Linked DNA regions of Stegostoma tigrinum. The protein of the gene in region 2 binds, or shares a complex with, the protein of the main gene of each other region. Links are inferred from orthologs where the notes say so. Each region holds a gene or a part of one and is shown on either strand. Other genes may lie near its edges.

Region 1 (6,950 bases), on a different chromosome or scaffold from region 2:
ATTTATCATAGCTCAATGTATGGCTTGCCCCATCGCAGTTTCCTTTATTTAGATTCAGGGCATTAATTGATGCTGATACTATATCCATAGAATCCCTACAGTGTGGAAACAGGCCATTCGGCCCAACAAGTCAACACTGACCCTCTGAAAAGAATCCCACCCCCAGACCCAAACCACACCCACACCCCACCTAACCCTGCATTTCCCATGGCTAACACACCCAACCTACACATCCCTGAACACAATGGGGTAATTTAGCATGACCAATCCAACTATCCTGCACATCTTTAGACTGTCAGAGAAAACTCGAGCACTTGGCAGAAACCCATGCAGACACAGGGAGAACACGTAAACTTCACACAGCTGGAATCAAACCCAAGTTCTTGGCACTGTGAGGCAGCAATGCTAACTACCGAGCCACCACGTCACCCTTCTTCATCTTCATGAAAAATTCCATCATATTGTAGTTATGCTTCCCAAGGGGCCTCACATGGACAGACTGCCAATTATTCATTTCTCATTAAACAATATCCAGCCTAGGATGGCCTGTTCTCTAGCTGGTTCCTCAAGGTATTGATCCACAAAAGCAGCTCATAGTCACTTTATGAATTCCTCCTTTATGGTATTATTGTTGATGTGATTTGTCTAATCTGTAAGATAGCTGCAAAGATAAGAGCACCTGGTGCAGGAAGTAATATATTTGCAGCATAAAGGGTTGGCTATCAGGAATCAGAGTAGTAATAACTAGAACTTTCTGGGATCGGCAACCCGAGACTAGCTGGGTTCGCAACCATTTACAATCTACATTAGCAATAAGGGATGACAGAACTGAATGTTTGGTAGCTAAATTCACTGTCACAAGGAGGCAGAATCCACATAGGGATGTACACAGGCCAAGTTCATGGGCAAAACTTTGGCAGAAAGAATATAATGTCAATAAATGTGAATTTGTCCACTTTGGCACAGGAAAGTGGTATTATATCAAAAAAAGATGCTGAAGACTTGAGTATCCTGGTAAATGAATCACCCAAAATTAGGATGCAGGTGCAGCAAGGGATTTAGAAAGATTTTTGATCCAGGAAGAAGTCCAGGAGCTATGCGTATGCAAACAAGACAAGATGATCACAAAAACATCAACCATGATGTTGAAAAGTGGAACAGTTCGAAGAACCAATTTGTCTATTGTTCCTAATTCACTCCTAAGAGAGTGAACACTGTTAAAACAGGAAAGGTATCGTCAGAGCAACTTCAACAAAGAGCCCCCCAAACTTGGACAAATAGGTCGAATTTAAAATTCGTGCTGGAAGAACCCGTTGACCGACAGAGAAATGCTCTCTCTCGTTGGGATGGCATAGACAGCCTCCATGTGGCAGGGGTCCATACTGGCCCTTTTGAATAGCCCCGAACAGGTTGAGTCCAACAATCACGCTGGCCTCCTCCTTGGAGCAGGAGCTCCGTTCCCCACAGTCCGGGCGCTGGGAACCCGCGCTTCTTTCTTCACTTACAACGCTTGGTAAGTTTGCAGAGAGTGTCAGCCAGCTGTTGGTACTGCTTCCTGCTCATGTCTAATGGCCGTATCCGAGACATTGTTGCTCCTATTCAGCCGCCAGACCCTTACTGACTCAACCACCTTCCCGTCTCTGTCCCTCTGTCACCAACGCCACAATTTCCTTGGTAACGCCACGCGACGCGGCCCAATAGGAATCTGCGAAGGTGGCGGCTGCGTGCGCATCTACTGGTGACATCAGGCAATACTTCTCCACAGTGACGAATTGCGCCGGCGCAGCGTATGCGCGCGAGCGAGTAGCTTGTGCTCGTGCTGGGGGCTTGCATTTATTGTCTGTCCATAGTTGAAAGATATTAGTGAGCTGCATTTTTTAAACTGGTGCAAGTCATTTAATGGATAGGACTGGAGTGTTGGCAAGTTCCAAGAGCCACACTGAGCCAAATATTTCCAAGTCTGTGAGTGGTGGAGGAATCTTTAAGGTGGTGGCAGTGGTGTTCTCATGTATTGGCTGCCCTTGGCCTTCTAATAATCATGGGTTGGAAAACTCTGTCAAGGAGCCTTTGTGAATTTCTGCAGTGCGTCCTTAAGTAGTATACATCACTGTTACTGAGTGTTGATCGTGGAGGGGATTAATGTTTCTGAATATGGCGCCAAACAAGTGAGTCGCTTTGTTTTGGATGGTGTCAGGCTTCTCAAGTCTTGTTGGAACCGCATTCGTCCAGGCAAGTGGAGAGTATGCTGTCACATTCCTAACTTTTTCCTTGTCAGTGGGCTTTGGGGAGTCAGGCAGTGAGTTACTTGCTGCAGGAACCTAGCCTCAGACATGTTCTTAAGGACACAGTAATTATATGCCGAGTTCAGTTTTGTTTCTGGTCGATGCTAACCTCAGGATGTTGATTCAGGTGTGGATTCAGCAATGGTCATGCTATTGAATGCCAAGTGGGGTTGAGGGGGTTGAAGGTTAGATTATCTGTTGGAGATGATCAATGGTTGGCAGTTAAGTGGTGAAAATGCCTTCTCATAACCAGTGGATCCAATGGTGATGGACATTTAAAAAATTGACAGGAGATGCAGTGTCCACAAATATTCCCATTCTCACTGATGGGAGACCATAGCACACCAGGGAAAAAGATAAGGCTGAAATGTTTGCATCTATCGTCATCAAAGTGGAGGATCTATCTTGGTCTCCTGAGATTTCCACCAACACACATACCAGTCTTCACCAGTTCACTTCACTCCATTCCAATCAGGAAACTTCTAAAGGTAACAATATTCTAGCAACTGTACCAAAGACTTGAGCTCCGCAATTAGTCATGGCCCTAGTTGTGCCAGTGTAGTGACTGGCATGTAGATGCCAATGTGGAGATTTACTCAGGCGTGTACCAAAGCAGGAAAACCCAATCTGACCAATTACCACCCTATCAGTCTGATCTTAATCATAAAAGTGATGATCATGAACAATGCTATCAAGCAACACTTGCAAGGGAATAGGTGTTTACTGGCATGCAGGCAGGGTTCTGCCAGGGTCTCTCAGCTCCTGGCCTTAGTACAGCGTCTCTCCGCTCCTGGCCTTAGTACAGCGTCTCTCCAAACACTGACAAAGAGGTGAATTCCTGAGATGTGGCAAGCTTGATTGTCCTTGACATCAAGGCTGCATTTGAACAAGTGTGGCATCAACAAACTCTGGCAAAATGCAAATTAATAGAAATCAGGGTTGGGGTGGGGACAGTGGTGGTTGAGGTGATGAGGATTCTCTATTGGTTGAAGTCACACAAAGCATTAAGAAAGATGATTGTTGGAAGTTAATTGTCCCAGTCCAAGGACATCACTGTAGGTATTCTCCAGGGTAGGGCCTCAGGCTCAGCTATCTTCACCTTTTCATCAATAAGGTTCCCACTATCATAATGTCAGAAGTGAGGATGGTCACTGATGATAGCACAGCGTTCAGGGTCATTCACAACACCTCAGATGCTGCAACAGTCTGTGTCCATTTGTAGCAAGACCTGGATGACGTCGAGGCTGAGAATGAATAAGTGGCAAATAATCATCACATCAGGCAAATGCCAGGCAACAATCACTTCCAGCAAGAGAAAATCTAACCATCAGCTGTGATAGTTAATGGCATTATCATCACTGAATCCCCTACTATCAACATTCTGGAGGTTACCATTAACCAGCCATAGAAATACCATGGTTGTAAGATCAAGACAGCAGCTTGGAATCCTAGGATATGTGACTAACTTTGTGACTTTTCAATGCTGATCCACCATCTGCAAGGCCACAATTCATGAATGTGATAAAACATTCTCCATTTGCCTGGATGAGTGTAGCTCCAATGACCCTGAAGCAGCTTATTTGGCACTCCAACTTAACATCCAACTTTCACCACCATCAACACTAAAGTTCAGTAGAGGCAGTGTATACCATGCCCAAGATGGACCGCAGTAACTCACTAATGTTTCTGTGACAATACCCTCCAAATCCATGAACGCTACCACCTAGAAGGTCAAGTGCAGATTCTTGGTAACACCACCACTTGTAAGTTCCCCTACAAGGCGCACACCATGCTGACTTGAAACCACGTCACGGATCTTTCGCCATTACTGGGTCAAAATCCAGGAGCACCCTTCCTGACAGCACTGTGGTGGTTCCTGCGCCTCAAAGACTGTAGTGATTCAAGATTGCCACTTTTTCCAGGGTAATTAGGGAGTGCAATAAATGTTGCCCGAGCCAGTGACCCACATCTCATGAATGAATTAAACTAAAAGGCTTCCTGTGCTCCTTGGCCAACTTAATCCTTTGCATTTCAGCAGTTTGTCCAAGTAACACGAGGAGGGAATTTTCCTAAAGGGGAAAAAAAATTGCTGCTATTGACTGTGTCAAACGGTTACACTTTGAAGCTGTAACATAGAAAGCAGAATGCCCAGTTTTAATGCTGTGCTGGAAAGATTGGCACAGGAATAGGCCAAACAGCTCTTTGATCACCAGTTAAATTTAATCTTGGCTGTTTCATATTTTTATTCCATCTATGCACTTTGGTTCAGTAATGTTTAATACTTTTTTTTAAACCTAAGATAGATTCAACAGCTTTTTAGGGAAAGATAGTTGCAGTCTTCCACTACCCTGCATAAAGAAACGCTTCTGATATCACTGCTGCACGGCTTAATTCAAAGGTTTTGTCAATTCTTTCTCAATTCTTTTGCCAGAAGAAGTACTTTATCCACTTACATCTAATTAATAATAATCTTAAATACCTCATTTAGATTACTCCCTAATAATCAGGCCAAGTAACTTTAAGCTTTCCTCATAATGTAATCATTTGCTAGCACATGACAGTAAAGAAATTGATACAACTGCCTAGCATCACTGGATGATGGTTTCGTGTTGAAATTCCTGTATTAGAAAATTAAATGTTTGACATGTGTATTTAATTATTTAAGTATGTCTGTTGTCTAATTATATTTGAACAGGTGTTCCTTCCTGTACTATTACTTTGAATGAAAAACTTGCAAATGATTTTGTGAACAGGGAACCGTATAATGTCATTGCAAACATTTATGCTCTTGGCCATTTTGAAATAATCAAAATTGGGTGTAAACACTGTAAAATCAAGGTCGAAGAGTAGGAATTCAAGGAAGCCATGTTGATTTTCAGCAACACCTTGGGCTACAGCAGAGGAATTGCTGTTATCTTTAGCACATCATTACATGAAGAAATTGATTACAGTGTAAATACACTCCATACATTAAGATTACTTAAATGAAGAAGGATTTGAGAAAGATTTTTCAGTTAAGATGAGAATTAAGGAAGATTATAATGTGACCTGATAACCCCTTTTAATTTTCAAAGATTGTTACGTTAAGCTAAATTGTGCTAGATTGCTTTTGCCAACTGACATGAAGGCGACAAATTTAAGATGAGCAGAAGTGGAATCAGAATTCTTTTTTTAAAATCTCAAAGAAACTTTACTACATGGAAATCTCAGTCAAATCATTGTTTAGCAGAATTCACAGGTGAAAAATTCCTCAGAGCTGCTCTTTCTATAACTTATTGTAGTACTGGAGGTTGTGATCAATGAGAAAGCACAGCTGACCTTGAAACCCTCTGATGAAATTTTCACCTCTGTACTTCTGCAGTTGTACTGCAACTGATTGCGATATTCTTAATTGGACATATTCAGTATGGAGCAGCAGTTATTATGCTGTAAAAGTAAATAACCCAAATAAAAAGGCATTCACAGCTTCTCAAATTGGAAAGAAAGAAACTCTCAAATAAAGTTCCTTCCAGAAATCATATTAAAGATTGGAACATTCTGGGTGAAGATGGAAGCTAAAATTTTCAGAACTACTGAAGATTAGCTTCTTAAAGTATGTTAATCATTTTGCAGTACTGATCGATTCTGCAGTGCTGTTGCCTATCAAATTAGAGCCATAGAGCTGTACAGCATGGAAACAGACCCTTTAGTCGAACTCGTCCATGCTGACCACATTTCTTATTTAATCTAGTCCCATTTGGCCCATATCCCTCCAAACCCTTCCAATTCATATACCCATCCAGATGCTTTTTAAATGTTGTCACTGTACCAGCCTCCACCACGTCCTCTGGCAGCTCATTCCATACACGCATCACCCTCTGCATGAAAATGTTGGCCCTTAGGTCTGTTTGTTTTAAATCCTTTCCCCTCTCACCTTAAACCTGTGCCCTCCAGTTTTAGACGCACCCCAGGGAAAAGACCTTGCCTATTCACCCTATCCATGCCCCTCACGACTTTATAAACTTCTCTAAGTTCACCTCTCAGCCTCCAACTCCCCATACAATTCAGCCTCTCCATATAGCCCAAGGTCAAGCCCTCCAATCCGGGCAACAACCTTGTAAATCTTTTTCTGAACCCTTTCAAGTTTCACTACATCCTTCCTATAGCTGGGAGACCAGAAGTGCATACAGTATTCCAAAAGTGGCCTAACCAATATTCTGCACAGCTGCAACATGACCTCCCAACTCTGATACTCAATGCACTGACCAATAAAGGCAAGTATACCAAATGCCTTCTTCACTATCCTTTCTACCTGCAACTCCACTTTCAAGGAATTATGCACCTGCACGACAAGGTCTCTTTATTCAGCAATATTCCCCGGGACCTTATTAAATGTGTAAGTCCTGCCCTAATTTGCCTTTCCAAAATACAGCACTTCATGTTTAGTTAAATTAGATTCCACCTGCTCCTCCTCAGCCCATTGGCCTTTCTGATCAAGGTCCCATTGTACGCTAAGGTAACCTTCTTCACTGTGTCACTGCACTTCCAATTCTGGTGTCATCTGCAAACTTATTAAACATACCTTCTATGTTCATTTCCAAGTCACATTGGAAGTATTATTACAAATTCAGTTACACTTGTTTAAATAAGATCTTAAGTTTTTTTTTAATGGGATTTCAAATAGCAGCA
Region 2 (7,710 bases):
ATGTTCATGGATGTATAGATTAAGTGCCTTACCCAGGGGGAAATGTAGGATTATACAGAGACGGGTCTAGGTGGGATGCTCTTCAGAGGGTCAGCGTGGACTTGTTGGCAGAATGGCCTGTTTTCAGGTATTCTGTGATTCTGTGAAATGCCCACAAATTTCCTTTGGCATCTGCTTTTCTACATCCTTCAGCAACTTTACACTGACTCATTGGACCCTCATCTGATTCATTTCCTTAATACGCAACTTTTCAACCAAGTCATTCATCAATCTTTCCAATTTATTCTTCAAAAGCTCAGCGTATGTTATTTATAATATTCTCAGTTACTCCCCTGGTTTCTTTGTGAAACACTTTTGCACATTTTCAATTTAAACGGTGCTGTAAAAATGCAGCTTTATTATTTCTCCAATATTGTGATGAAGGCAATTAAAAGCACACATTCAACTTCTACAGAAATTTGTTACAATAGAGGTGAATGACTGAGCTTGTGAGCAAGTCAGTAAAATCAAAATTCAAGGCCAACAAGTCGACATAGTCCGACTAGACCATAGGGCCTCTTCTCGAAGAGAGTCGACAAGTGCTGGTTGAACCTGAGAGTCACCACACATCAGGCAAAGGGAGACGTTGAGAAGGATTTGATCTTACCAGCAATGCCCCTGCAAGTACTCTGTGCAGGCGTTTATTTTCTTCTCTGACATATTGAATGGTGTCCTTGTTCTTCTTGATTTTGCACTGTGAACTTTCATAGTAAGCCTTACGGTCACCCTCTGAAATAAACCAGTCAATAAGATGAGCATGTTCTGCTTCTGTGGATAATCTTATCCTGGTCAGGGAACCAGTAAAATAGAGTAAAGTAACTGTGGTCTGACCAACAATAGGGCTGCTCTCTCTTTGGCGAGACTATGGGTGGTGGTTTAACCCGAAGGTGACCACTTCAGGCAAACACAGAAAACCTAAGTGTTGCTCCACCCTCTGCTCTGGATCCTCTGGATCCAAAGATCACAATCAGTGAAGACAGACTGCACGTCCTCCATTATAGCCCTCAACACTGGAGACCCCCAAGGATGCATCCTCAGCCTCCTACTGTACTCCCTGTACACTCATAACTTTGTTGCCAACTTCCAAACAAACACCATCTACAAGTTTGCTGATGACACCACCGCGGTAGGGTGGGCTTCAAACATTGAGTCAGAATACGGAAAGGAGATAGATGGCTTGATGACGCGGTGCAGTGATAGCAACCTCTCTGTCAATGTCAGCCAAACTATAGAACCAATCTTTGATTCATAAAGAAAGGAGGAGAACACGCCCCCATCTACATCAACAGAACTGAGGTTGAGAAAGTTGAGAGCTTCCTTGGAGTGACAATAACCAACAACCTGTCCTGGACTTTCCATGTGGAAGCAACGGTCAAGGCACAACAATGGCCCTTTTTCCTTAAGTGGCTCAGGAAATTTGGCATGTCCATAAGTACCCTCACCAACTTTTACAGTTGCACCAAAGAAAAGCATATTCCCTGGGTGCATAATGGCCTGGTATGGCAACTGGTCTGTCCAGGACCATAAGAAAGAACAGAAAGTGATGTACACAGCCCAGACCATTACAGAAGCGAACCTCCCATCCATGGACTCCACTTACATGTTTCATTGCTGCATAAAGGCTGCCATCATCATCAAAGACCCATCGTACCCCAGTGGTGCTCCCCTACAACCTCTTCCATCAGGCAGAGGATACAAAAGCTTGAACACACACACACACACACGTGATGAATGGACTGTAATTTCAAATAATGCTGACCTTGCCTTGTGCATGTTCTCTGCAGTGTAATCTGCATGGCTTACGATATCCAAATCTTTTCTTCATCCTATGATCTGTACATCCTTGCTTACTATGATCTGCCTGTACTGCCTGCAAACAAAGCTTTTCACTGTACTTAGGTACGTGTGACAATAAATCACATCAAATCACATCCAATTAAATCAAAATGGAGAAAAAAAAGCAAATCAGGGTCACTGGACCCAAAATGTTAGATGTGATTTCTCTTCACAGATGCTGTCAGACCTTTTCCAGTAACTTCTGTTTTTGAAGCAAATCAGCAAATTGTAAAGAACTTTGGCTTATTTTTCCATGGTAAAATCCTGAAACTTTCATGGAAAATTTATGAAGAATTTTAGGTCCCTGTTTAATTGCAACTCATTGATGCATTAGGTCATCCTTGGCAATTATCACGAAAGGGTATTCTCTTCTAATCTCTAACTGATAGGATGAATACTGCTCAGACTAAATGCAGCATCTTCTCTGCACTGATTTCTGCCTCTTCAGTTTCCTTCATCTCACGTCCATGAATTTTTTTCTCACAGTTTCTATTTCCTTCCTTTCTTTCTTCCTCTTTCCAATTCTCCATTTACCTTGCTATCTTGCTTTTAATTCTCGCAAATCAAAGGAATCAAGTGAAGAATTTCTTACACATCCCAGGTTAAAATATCTGAACTGTTTGAGTTTCCAGAAATATTATTGTTAGAGACACGAGGTGTCAGACTGGTGTGCTCATTCTCTTCTATTGTGTTTCTTTGATATGTCCAATCAAACTTACCTAATAATTGGATTTTTTTCTGCAAATCCCAGATCTGTTCCTGGACAGGGACCCGCGAAGGTCCGAACATCGTCGACCCTGGGCCGTCTTTCCCGTTGTAGCTGCCCCTTATTTTCGTGTCCCAGTCCCTGCTGAGCTGCCAGTCTTTGCAAACGAATGTTTAGGTTCTTATTTCTCTCTTTGGCTCCACATGCTATTTTTCTGCCACTGAATTGAAATTCCTTTCCAAATTCACTTTTATTCCCTTTTTTTTGCTACCTTCGCCAATATGGATCGATTCACCTCTCTATCTTCTCTCTCTCTCCCCTTCCTTTTCTAACTCGTTTCGTTTGCTTGATCTAATCTCCCGAGCAACAGGCAATAAAGCAGTTGCTGAGAAACCCTGATTTCCGTTTCCTGTTCGTCCTGCTGTGGTAACTAACCAGGTTGACGTCTCTTCACACACTGACGAACTGGGAACCTATGAGTTGACACTGCCCTGGCCCATACCATCTTCCCGTCACCTCAATGCTGTACTGTACTTCCGTCAGCGCGGCGATCCAATCAGTAACCCCACCTCTCTGTTTGCTAACTGACTGCAGAGGCACAAATTACTACTTTTACCAGAGATAATAGGAACTGCAGATGCTGGAGAATCCGAGATAGTAGAATGTGAGGCTGGGTGAACACAGCGGGTCAAGCAGCATCTCAGGAGCACAAAAGCTGACGTTTCGGGCCTAGACCCTTCATCAGAGAGGGGGATGGGGGGAGGGTTCTGAAATAAATAGGGAGAGGAGGGAGGCGGACCAAAGATGGAGAGAAAAGAAGATAGATAGAGAGGAGACGAGTTAAAGGGCCGGGGATGGAGCCAGTAAAGGTGAGTGTAGGTGGGGAGGTAGGGACAGGATAGGTCAGTCCGGGGAGGACAGACAGGCCAAGGAGGGGGGGGGGCGCGGGATGAGGTTAGGAGGCGGGAAATGGAGGTGCAGCTTGAGGTGGGAGGAGAGGATATGTGAGAGGAAGAACAGGTTAGGGAGGCGGGGACGGCCTGGGCTAGTTTTGGGATGCAGTAGGGAGAGGGGAGATTTTGAATCTTGTGAAATCCACATTGATACTGAGATAACAAAACGTGAAGCTGGATGAACAGAGCAGGCCAAGCAGCATCTCAGGAGCACAACCGCTGACGTTTCAGGCCTAGACTCTTGACCCCAAACATCAGGTTTTATGGTCCTGAGATGCTGCTTGGCCTGCTGTGTTCATCCAGCTCCACACTTTGTTATCTCGGATTCTCCAGCATCTGCAGTTCCCATTATCTCTGTCCACATTGATACCATTGGGCTGCAGGGGCCCCAAGCGGAATATGAGTTCAACTCCCCCTCCCACTTCTTTTACCAGTTGCTTTCTGCCTGTGAGCAATGTGCATTGTGGTCGAGGACTGCTGTGGCATTCCCCATGTGACTGTGAAATCTGTATTTTGACATTAAAATATGGAGCAACAGTATTAAAACTATGGAACATAGAACATAGAACATTACAGCACAGTACAGGCCCTTCGGCCCTCGATGTTGTGCCATCCTGTCATACCGATCTCAAGCCCATCTAACCTACACCATTCCATGTACGTCCATATGCTTATCCAATGACGACTTAAATGTACCTAAAGTTGGCAAATCTACTACCGTTGCAGGCAAAGCGTTCCATTCCCTTACTACTCTCTGAGTAAAGAAACTACCTCTGACATCTGTCCTATATCTTTCACCCCTCAATTTAAAGCTATGCCCCCTCGTTCTCGCTGTCACCATCCTAGGAAAAAGGCTCTCCCTATCCACCCTATCTAACCCTCTGATTGTCTTACATGTTTCAATTAAGTCACCTCTCAACCTTCTTCTCTCTAATGAAAACAGCCTCAAGTCCCTCAGCCTTTCATCGTAAGACCTTCCCTCCACATCAGGCAACATCCTAGTAAATCTCCTCTGCACCCTTTCCAAAGCTTCCACATCCTTCTTATAATGCGGTGACCAGAACTGTACACAATACTCCAAGTGCGGCCACACCAGAGTTTTGTACAGCTTCACCATAACCACTTGGTTCCGGAACTTGATCCCTCTATTAATAAAAGCTAAAACACTGTCTGCCTTCTTGACAACCCTGTCAACCTGGGTGGCAACTTTCAAGGATCTGTGTACATGGACAACGAGATCCCTCTGCTCATCTACACTACCAAGAATCTTACCATTAGCCCTGTATTTTGCATTCCAGTTACTCCTACCAAATGCATCACCTCACACTTGTCTGCATTAAACTCCATTTGCCACCTCTCAGCCCAACTCTGCAGCTTATCTATGTCTCTGTGCAACCTACAGCATCCTTCGTCACTATCCACAACTCCACCAACCTTAGTGTCGTCAGCAAATTTACTAATCCATCCTTTTACGCCCTCATCCAGGTCATTTATAAAAATGACAAACAGCAGTGGGCCCAACACCGACCCTTGCGGTACACCACCAGTAACTGGTCTCCAGGATGAACATTTCCCATCAACCACCACCCTCTGTCTTCTTTCAGCAAGCCAATTTCCGATCCAAACTGCTATATCTCCCACAATCCCATTCCTCCACATTTTGTACAATAGCCTATTGTGGGGAACCTTATCGAACACCTTGCTGAAATCCATATACACCACATCAACCGGTTTACTCTCATCTACCTGTTTGGTCACATTCTCAAAGAACTTGGAAACATAAATGGTTCCTGAATTTCTTTAAGGATTTATTACATATGAGTGACTGATAGTGGTACTGTAAGAAGCATAATTTTAATGTTATTCCATGAGATGTGACCACTGCTGGTCAGCGTTTGTTCTCCCATGTCAATTTGCCCTTTGCTGTCAGGTCATACAGTGTGATGCTCTGCAATGGTGAAGATACAGTATTACAGTTCCAAAACATAATGAAATTTGGCTTGGAGACGACCCCTGTAGGTACATCTGCTGCTCCTATGATAGACACCTGGTTCAAAAGGTGCTGTTAAAGGCAGCTTTGCAAAGTTGCTGCAGCACATTCTGTAGATACATTGCTGACATTGAACTCTGGTGCTGGTGGAGGTAATGAATGCTGGAGGCCGTGAATGGGATTTCAACAAAGGGCCTGTTTTGTCCTCAATGTTACTGAGCTTCCTGAGTGTTGTTGGAGCAATATTCATCTAGGCAAGTGGGGAGTTGTCTATCATACTGCTGACTTGTGTCTTGTAGATGGTGGACAGGCTTTAGGGACTAAGAGGGTGAACTACTCACTGCAGAATTTCCAGCTCTACTTAATCATGTAGCCACAATTTTTGAATAGCTGATTAGTTTGAGTTTCTTGTCCTCATCTTGCTGAAATGGCAGTAAGATAGATGCTACCAGATGGAAGAAGAAGATGGGGCCAGCTAAAGAAGTTCTGGACTAGACCAAGAAATGACTATAAATCAGGCCTAGTGATAGAGTCTTGATGCCCATTTGGGACCAGAGGAACTAAGTCTTAATTTTTCAGTCAATAGTCCTCAAAAGCTGTTAATGATGGAGAGTTCATCACTGATAATGGTGTCAAAGGTCCAGGGGAATTGGTTTGATTCTCTTTTATTGGAAATGGCACTTGCCTAGTAAGGCACAATTGTTACCACGCTTAGCATGTTATTCTCCAAACTACAGCTTAATCCTGACTTGAAACTCTTGTGCCAATCCTATCGTTACTGGATCAAGATCCTGAAACCCCCTTCTGTACAACATAATGTGGTCGATCTGCACCAGATGAACTGCTGTGGTGCAAGAAGGCAACTCACCACCAGCTTTTCAATGAATGATGTGACTGAACATATTTCATTCTTGGACACTACCCTGAGGAACTCTTCCATCATCCACAACCATCTTACCTTGTGCTTAGTATGACTCCAAACAGTGGAGAATTTCCACAATTCCCTTTGGCTTTCATTTTGCCTGGGCTTGTTGATGCCATACTGAGCCAAAATGCTGCCTTGATGTAAATGGCAGCCACTTCACCTCACCTGTATAATTCAGCTCTTCATCCATACTTGGGCTGTTTTGAGGACTGGAGCTGAGTGTTCCTGATTGAATCCAAACTGAGCTTTGGTGAACAGATTTAGCTGAGTAAGCACAGCTTGAGAGCACTATCAATGACACCTATCGCTGCAAGTAGGCTGAGGGGGTAATAGCTTGCACAGAAAATACCTGAAAATTTTTAACATTGTTGAGTAGATGTCAGTGTTGTAACAGTTCTACAACAACTTGACTACATGTGGTAATTCTGCAGCACAAGCCTTCTCTATTACAGTCGATACAGTGTGGAGCTGGAGGAACATAGCAGGTCAGGCAGCATCAGAGGTGCAGGAGAGTTGATGTTTTGGCCTAGACTCTTTATCAGTCCTGATGAAGGATCTAGGCCAGAAACATTGATTCTCCTACTCCCCGATTCTGCCTGACCTACTGTGTTCCTCCAGCTTCACATTGTAGTGACTTTGAGCATCTGCAGTTCTTGCTATCTCTTCTGTCCCGTAACTGGGTTGTTGTGAAGGCCTAGACCTTTTGCTGTGTCTGGTATGTTCAGTTAATTCTCAGTATCACATGGAGTGATGTGGCTAAAGATTGGGATCTATAATGTCAGATAAAACTTGATTCCTGTCAATGATGGACAAGAAGGTTGAGCAGTTCTGGCTGATCATTGATTGCAAACGTTTCAGCCTTGTCTTTTGCATTGATGTGCATTTATCCCCTGATTTAATGGTAATAGTTGATTGAGGGATATACTGGGCCATGGGAATACAAATCTTCTACAGATGGTAAAATTCTGTAGAAATAGCTTCAGAAATATTAGATGCACTGGTAGTAATCTTTCAAGAAGTCTTATATTCAAGAAAAGTTCCAGAGGATTGGAAAATACCAACATAACACCTTTACTCAAAAAGTGAGCGACTTGAAAGGGTATAATAGGCCAGTTAGTTTAACATCTGTCATGGGAAAGGTGTTAGAGACTATAATAAAGAATGTAATAGCAAGCATTGAGATATGCATTATAAAATTGAGCAGAGTCAGTATGGCGACCGATAGGGAAATCAGGCCTGACAAATTTATTACCGTTCTTTG

What was found. The genes of interacting proteins can lie anywhere in the genome.
Region 1: odad3 (region 2) and clxn share a complex: the UniProt entries of both Homo sapiens proteins name them as parts of the outer dynein arm-docking complex. The link is inferred for Stegostoma tigrinum from reciprocal best matches to the Homo sapiens genes ODAD3 and CLXN.

Annotation. Positions count from the first base shown.
Region 1 is NC_081355.1:77,300,288-77,307,237, forward strand, and holds the start of clxn (calaxin), read right to left. Parts: upstream 3,003-6,950; 5' UTR 1,588-3,002; coding exon 1,506-1,587; intron 1-1,505. UniProt on the Homo sapiens protein: Component of the outer dynein arm-docking complex (ODA-DC) that mediates outer dynein arms (ODA) binding onto the doublet microtubule. Seems to regulate the assembly of both ODAs and their axonemal docking complex onto ciliary microtubules.
Region 2 is NC_081388.1:25,227,262-25,234,971, forward strand, and holds the start of odad3 (coiled-coil domain-containing protein 151), read right to left. Parts: upstream 3,015-7,710; 5' UTR 2,665-3,014; coding exon 2,595-2,664; intron 769-2,594; coding exon 647-768; intron 1-646. UniProt on the Homo sapiens protein: Component of the outer dynein arm-docking complex (ODA-DC) that mediates outer dynein arms (ODA) binding onto the doublet microtubule. Involved in mediating assembly of both ODAs and their axonemal docking complex onto ciliary microtubules.